2 linked regions of the Arabidopsis thaliana genome follow. The protein of the gene in region 1 binds, or shares a complex with, the protein of each later gene. Each region holds a gene or a part of one and is shown on either strand. Other genes may lie near its edges.

The links.
Region 2: VRN2 (region 1) and SWN share a complex: the UniProt entries of both Arabidopsis thaliana proteins name them as parts of the plant homeodomain / polycomb repressive complex.

The regions. Positions count from the first base shown.
Region 1 is NC_003075.7:9,473,936-9,477,688, forward strand, and holds the start of VRN2 (VEFS-Box of polycomb protein), read left to right. Parts: upstream 1-2,133; 5' UTR 2,134-2,272; intron 2,273-2,605; 5' UTR 2,606-2,772; coding exon 2,773-2,898; exon of another isoform or gene 2,899-3,068; coding exon 3,069-3,124; intron 3,125-3,294; coding exon 3,295-3,362; intron 3,363-3,459; coding exon 3,460-3,512; coding exon of another isoform or gene 3,513-3,534; intron 3,535-3,729; coding exon 3,730-3,753. Other genes in the region: AT4G16835 (Tetratricopeptide repeat (TPR)-like superfamily protein), read left to right, coding at 1-387, 458-868; AT4G16840 (uncharacterized protein), read left to right, coding at 979-1,225, 1,414-1,430. UniProt on the Arabidopsis thaliana protein: Polycomb group (PcG) protein. Plays a central role in vernalization by maintaining repressed the homeotic gene FLC, a floral repressor, after a cold treatment.
Region 2 is NC_003075.7:884,768-888,520, reverse strand, and holds the start of SWN (SET domain-containing protein), read right to left. Parts: upstream 1,942-3,753; 5' UTR 1,829-1,941; coding exon 1,793-1,828; intron 1,542-1,792; coding exon 1,422-1,541; intron 1,322-1,421; coding exon 1,056-1,321; intron 916-1,055; coding exon 757-915; intron 504-756; coding exon 419-503; intron 316-418; coding exon 172-315; intron 84-171; coding exon 36-83; intron 1-35. Other genes in the region: AT4G02010 (Protein kinase superfamily protein), read right to left, coding at 3,299-3,679. UniProt on the Arabidopsis thaliana protein: Polycomb group (PcG) protein. Catalytic subunit of some PcG multiprotein complex, which methylates 'Lys-27' of histone H3, leading to transcriptional repression of the affected target genes, mainly abscisic acid (ABA) responsive elements.

The DNA.
Region 1 (3,753 bases):
TTACTGGCCTGTAACCATGCTGGACTAGTGAATATTGGGATGGCATATTTCGAATCGATGGTGAGAGATTATAAGGTAGAACCGCAGCCTGATCATTACACGTGTATGGTTGATCTTTTGGGTCGGGCTGGGAAGCTGGAGGAGGCATTGAAACTGATAAGATCAATGCCGTTTAGACCTCATGCTGCGGTCTTTGGGACGCTCTTAGGGGCTTGTAGAGTGCACAAGAATGTGGAATTGGCTGAATTTGCAGCTGAGAAACTGCTTCAGCTAAACTCGCAAAATGCAGCCGGGTATGTGCAGCTTGCGAATATCTACGCATCGAAGAATCGTTGGGAAGACGTTGCAAGGGTTCGCAAGAGAATGAAAGAGAGCAATGTTGTGAAGGTAGAGCGAGTCAAAGTTCGATTCTTTATTCGAGTTACAAGACTCTAATGTATTTACTTGACTGTTTCAGGTACCTGGATACAGTTGGATCGAAATACGAAACAAAGTTCACCATTTCAGATCAAGTGATCGGATTCACCCTGAACTAGACTCAATACACAAGAAACTGAAGGAGTTGGAGAAGAAGATGAAACTAGCTGGATACAAACCGGAACTAGAGTTTGCTTTACACAATGTAGAGGAAGAGCAAAAAGAGAAGCTATTGTTATGGCACAGCGAGAAGTTAGCTGTTGCATTTGGTTGCATAAAACTCCCTCAAGGTTCACAGATACAAGTGTTCAAGAACTTGAGAATCTGTGGTGATTGTCATAAAGCAATCAAATTTATCTCGGAGATAGAGAAACGAGAGATCATTGTAAGAGACACCACAAGGTTTCACCATTTCAAAGATGGGTCTTGCTCTTGTGGCGATTACTGGTGAAAAGAGAAGAGCTTTGACTCTCTCATTGGTCAAACCTGACTGTATTTATATGCGTTATTGTGTGGTAAAGTTTCGACCTTTGACTTGACAAGTTGCCGTTAAGAAGAGAGATGCGTAGATCAGCGAGTGGTTCTAGAGTTTTGGATCATTTTCCGGCGACTTCAAGGTCTCCGCCTCGATCTCAGAGTGTTACAGCAATGGAAGATGATGTGGAGCTGCTTTTGCCTAGGTACGATCCGAATTCTCAAGCGGGGAAGAGAGAGAAATCAAGATTCAGATTTTCAGAAAACGTCATCCATTTGATTCCTCTCATTCTTCTTCTCTGTGTCGCAATCCTCTGGCTCTCCTCTTACTCAGGTAAGCCGAGAAATTGTTTCAATCTCTATGAATCCATAATTGATCTGTGAAACTTAATTAGGGATTTTACAAAGACTCATATGGATATGAGGATCGAGATGTCTCTGCAACGTTAGAATCTTGTGTTGAATTATGGTTTCAATTTGTTCATATAATACTAAATCGGTGATGGATTTGGAATTTGTCAGCAGCGTTAAGGAGTTGAGTTCCAAAAGCAACATGTTGTCTTGTCTCCATGGGAACTCATATTCAGTTTTGGGAAAGGAAACAATTCTTTTACCGCCGGTGATTTTGTGCCGCAAACCATTCGTATTTGTAATTTTTGGTTCTGTAGACACACAAAAGGATCTCTCGTTTTCATGAAATGTATGTTTAATATTTCAGTGATATACATCACACAACTCAAGTAGAAAACACTGATGGTTATCCATTAATCATTCTATTGGTCGAAAAAAAGATTAGTTTCAACTTAATGCCACCTTAGGATTATATGTTCCTGTGAGTTTCAGCTAGCCAACTCAACTAGAGTTAAACAATGGAATCAAAATACATATTCAGTAATTTATTTTAAACTCTGACTATTTATGTAAAACACAAATGGAAATCAAAATTGAAGGTCATGAAGATTCTATTCTTAGTGTGAAAAGTATAGATCAATGATTCTTAATTTCTTCATCCTCCACGCATAGATCAATGGTGAATATGGTTTTAAATCCTCTAATACTCACTGTACTGCCATGGTAGAGTTAAAAAAACAATTTTAGAAATATTAGTGGATTAAGGCATTAAGCTGTCCAAGTTGCTTGTATTTTCTTTTCATTTTATTAATTAAAAAAAAAGTTCAACTATTTATTGACTAATAATAATACGTGTTAAATGGTTATCGGTTTAAAATATGGGCCATAGGCCCAGACTTGAAGAAAAACTTGAAACCCAAAGTTTTATTTTTACTTGTTTTCTTTCTCAGTGAATATCTCCCAATCAAGCTTCTTCAATTTTGCTTGCTCTCTCTCTTACACGGCCAATCGGTGTTTTCGCAGCTTTCAGGTTTGTCTCAATCTCAAATTAAATCGGAGTCAAGTAATAACAATTGATAACCCTAATTGTTTCAATTATATTGTAAGATTTGAAATTTTGCAGTAGATCCGGAATCGTATTCTAGTTCTGGAATCGTTGATCTCGATGGAATTTTTTTTAAGATTTCTTCATACACATTTGGTTCAAAAGATCACATAATTTTATTTTAATTTGATAAGTATGATGATTCTGCTAAGTGGCATTGGATAAAGTTTTCATTTTTGCAATACGTCTAAACTTGTCTATGTCTTGAATGAACTCTCTGAGTTGCTTAAAAAGTCTTGTGCTTTCTTTATTACACAGGCCTCAATACAAGACATTCTATATAAGCATATTGCAGAAGAGGCGGTTCTAATTGTTGCATGGAGTTGAACAATATGACGTAGGGAAATTCTAATTTAGGGGAGGCCTCAGAGTTTGCACTAACTTCATAATCAGCTCTGGACGTTGTTGATTGTATTTGAACAAGAATGTGTAGGCAGAATTGTCGCGCGAAATCCTCACCGGAGGAAGTGATTTCAACTGATGAGAATCTCTTGATATATTGTAAACCTGTTCGACTATATAACATCTTTCACCTTCGCTCTCTAGGCAACGTATGATTTGGCCTTCCTCTCTCATCATTTTAGCTTAGTAATCTTTCATCTCCTGTGTAGATCACCCACTAATAGTTTGAGTTTGCTAAGCTGATTATGGTCTGACTCATGGCGAGTGTGTGCTTCTTTTGTCTCCTAATGTTATTTGAACTTGTTGTTTGTTGTTGCAGCCATCGTTTCTGCCAAGATGCTTGAACTACAAAATTGGGGCAAAGCGCAAAAGAAAGTATGCGTTTCTTCTTGAATGTAGTTGCCACAGTGATATGTTATTTATCTTACTTCTAATATGGAAGCTGATGAACTATTTATCTTTGTTGAGTAGATATGGACATAATGAATGGTTTCTTCTTTGTTCATGCTATACACTTATATTTTACAAAATTGTGTTTTGCTTAGGTCAAGATCTACTGGGATGGTAGTTTTCAACTATAAGGATTGTAATAATACATTACAAAGAACTGAAGGTTAGTCTTTTTCTGTTCTTCGACAAAATTCGATGTCAATGTCTATGTTTCTCTAGATGATTTGTTATTTACTATTTTTTTCTGTATTGTCACGCAGTTAGGGAGGATTGTTCTTGTCCATTTTGCTCTATGCTATGTGGTAGCTTCAAGGTGGGCAACTATTACAACTGAGGTTTCTTCCGGGGCCTTTCATATCTAACACTGTGAAATGCTACTGCCGTTTAATGCTATATACTTTCACTGTTTGGTTACATATTTTTGTGTTTGTTGTTTGTCTTCTTGCTCTTTTTAAACTGCTGAGTGTGTGCTTATCTGAGAAAACATGTTCCAGTTCGAGCTTACAATCCATTGTCTTGTGTCTATGCAGGGGCTGCAATTTCATTTGAATTCA
Region 2 (3,753 bases), 8.6 Mb from region 1:
ACAACTAAAGAAAGTAAAGACAAATTCAAGCTTACAGCACTAATCAAAGGCTGAGAACATCCATGCAGACGACAGTCAAATACCTGTTAGAAATAACCAAAGAAGGATTAACATGATTAACAAACACTTAATAATACATGCTCTCTCTGTCACAAAGAACAATCCAAGTACCAAGCAACGGCGGCAGAAAAGATTATCAAAAGAATCTAGAGCTGCACCAAGGCCCTTTTCCAGAGATATTCCCAGCTTGAATCCGGAATTAGAAAATTCCTCGGTATTCTGCTTATCCTTCAACTTGAGCTCATTGTATCTTTCCTGCAGCAGACAGGAAAGCCAAACATCATTAGTGAAGAAGAATAGGAAGACCAGAAAAACATCATTAGATAAACCACAAGAACAAGATGACTAAAAACTGCACCAGGATATCAGAAGCATCTACGCTTAGCAACTGGCAAAGGGCATCCTGCACTTCCTCACCCATGCCATACTCCTGCCCAATTAACCTGCCAATTCAAGTCAAACGAGGTATGAAGAAATTCATATATAGTGAGATATATTTCAAACCTAATGCTAATGAAGAGTCTTACAGAATGAAATTTGATATGAATACGAAATATGACATCTTTTTTTAGCATCAACAAATGTGATTCATTGGTTAATAAATTCCACCCAGGTACTTCTTCAAATACCAGTATCACAATTTTTCCCCATCAGAGTACATGAGAGTCCATAATTTACACTCTCTGCAAAACTAACCATATAATGGAATCTTCACCCTCGGAAAATTCACGTTTTTCCTCCTCAGGTTCTGGTTCTTCCTCACTATCGCTGCATATTAGCGTCTCACCACCATGTTGTTCATAGTAGATTTGTCTTCGACCAACCACAGACTGATCTTCAGCCATTCTTTGATTTCTGCATGGTTAAGATATTTTTTCAGAAAAGAAAAACAACACATAATATGAAAACTGAATTTGATGTTCTAGTCTATTGTTCAACTGAATTTAGAATAGCATGCTACCAACGCAAAAATGAGAACTAGAAAAGGTGCATGCCTGTCCAAAAATATCCAGGTAGTGTATGGCGGTATTCTCTCAGCAATAGGAAGCTTGACACTTGCTGATATAACATCCTTAGTAGGAACATAGTCTCTATCTCCCACACCATGAGAAAAACCATTTAACTTGCAGAGTGGCATTCTCATTCTCGAAGAAAGCATATTGCTATTTCCATTATCCTCTGCGGTAGCTCGGCTCGATGCAGCAGATGAAAAGGGAGAAACATGAGCATCCACTTTCTTTCTATTAGCCTCAAATTTCTCCTACATTCCCAGGAAAACAATCAAAAACGGATAAATGATTTCAAATTTTTTAGACATTAGTATAATTAGTAAAGAACATCAAGTATAGAAACTCTCTTACTTTAATAGACCTAACTCTTTCTCCTTGAATTTTCCTTTTAAGCTCACTTAATCTGTTTTCCAAACCCTCGAGTCTATCTTCTTCTTCTTCACCATCATCATCATCATCTACATGAGACTTCTATTCAGAAGCCCAAATCAAAACAAAAATCGTGTAAAAAACAAAAGCAACGAGGAAAAACACTAATTCTATAAGGTCCATCAACTCCAACAGTGAACAAAAGTAAGAGAGCGATTATAATTTGATGAACTCAAACGGATTTCACGAACAATCAGCTGAAAAAACGCGAATGATCATGCGCATACGAGCAAAATCAGATAATAAATCAAAAAAAAAAAAAAAAGAGGAGATTGAAAGGTAAATCTGAGTACGATTCGTCCAGAGGAGTTGCTATCGTCCGTCACCATTGATGACTCCTCGAGCTTTCCGCTTCTCTTCCGCTCGAACTTTCTCTCTCTCTCTGCTTTTTCCGCAATCAGACTTGTGAGAAGGACGAACGGAGTGTGGACTGGAAGGGGGGTTACATTACATACAAAGAACGCCACACGTGTGAATGAATAGTGCTTATACGTGTGTAATTTAATTAGTGGTTTTGCGACAATTATTTTCTATTTGTGATTATAATTGTATGTTATCTTAAAGATAACTATTACGACATGCCTGGCTCTGGAGCCGTTGAGGCTAATAATGGCTAATATTATTAACGTCAAAGTCTCTAGAGCCACACAGGTTATAGCAGTTACGTTTGAGATAAGTATTAGTTGTAAAGTAATAAACTCTGAACGTAAAAATATTAAGATATTTGTGATTATAATTGTATTTTATCTTAAAGGTAACTACTATGATTTGTGTGGCTTTAGAAACTTTGACGTTAACAATACTAGCCATTGAGGCTAAGAATATTAGCTGTAAAGTAAAAATCTCTGAGCGTAAAGATTTAAACTGTAAAGATTTTTTTTTTTTAACATATGTATGCTTCTTATAAACTTGTAAAGGGAGATACAAATATCTTTCTAACCATAATGGTGGTACAGAGAATTAATTAACTGAGCCTTTTTAGATAAGATGTCCGCAGCTGCATTTCTTTCCCAATTAACATGTGCTAAGGAAGAGAACGGAAGCTTCACCATCCAATAACGAATATCATAAAGAAGAGTGATGATCTTATTATGATCACTCTGCGTATTGATCAGATTTACTAGCTCTGCATTATCGCTCTCAAACCACACATAAGTACATAATGTAGTCCTCGGGACCAAGTCACTTGAAGGGCATGAAGAAATCCGAGAGCCTCTGCTTGAAGAGATAATTGTGACGATTGAAGTTGAGCACGCCCTGAACTAAGGAAACATCCATTGCAATCTCTGTAAATCCATCCTGAATGTATGACAGTCCTTTCCTGAACATAACCACTATCAAAAATAATAATAATAAAAACTGTGATTTTAACTAATAAGAAAGGAATTACTTTAAATATTGGTTTGATACCATAAAAATTATATTTAAAATATTAGTTTTTCAACAGATTATATTTTATTTAGATTATTCCATAAAAAAAAAGTATTATACTGTTACTTTTAGCTGTAAAAACTTTTACTGTAAAAAGCCTTTAAAAATTAACAGTACAAACTAATCACCTGTACATAGTTTTTTTATATTGGAAAAAGTATATTCAAATTCTATTTGTATATCTGATGGTTGTGGCAAATATTAATTAATTAACGCAAAAATATATACAAAATTCTATCCTCCAATAAAGGAGAATCCAAAATCCAAAGAGCTGTAATAATGTCCCAAACTCAAAAGCTTCTCTGGTGGAAATTTTCTCACCGTAAGTGGGAGAAAAACAAATAAAAAGAAGAAAACCCTGGCTTCTATCATCGGCCTTCGTGAAGATCTTCTGAGAAAACAGTTGTTCGTGTAATATTTTCATGATCAAAAGCGCTTAGACCAGAATAAGGACCAGAAGAGAACATAGAAGAGGTTACTTCTGACTCGAACGTAGCTGATGATTGTCTCCGGTTAGGACGAGCTTTATTTGAAGTGTTTAAAACCGGGTCTTGATACTCAACCACCCGTTGAACCATTTTAAGTGACTGAACCACTTCGCCCATCGTTGGTCTCTGGCTAGCTTCAGGTGCAACACAAGCTGCAGCGATTGTGCATACTCTTATGAAATCTTCTTTCGGGTATTTTCCTTCAAGTCTTGAATCGACTAGTTCTTCTAACCGGTCTTTGTCTCTTAAAACTGGCCTTGTCTGCATCCAGAATCAAATTTTTACATTCGAGACTTCAAAAGCTTAAGTTTTCGACAATGAAAGTGCAGGAAGAT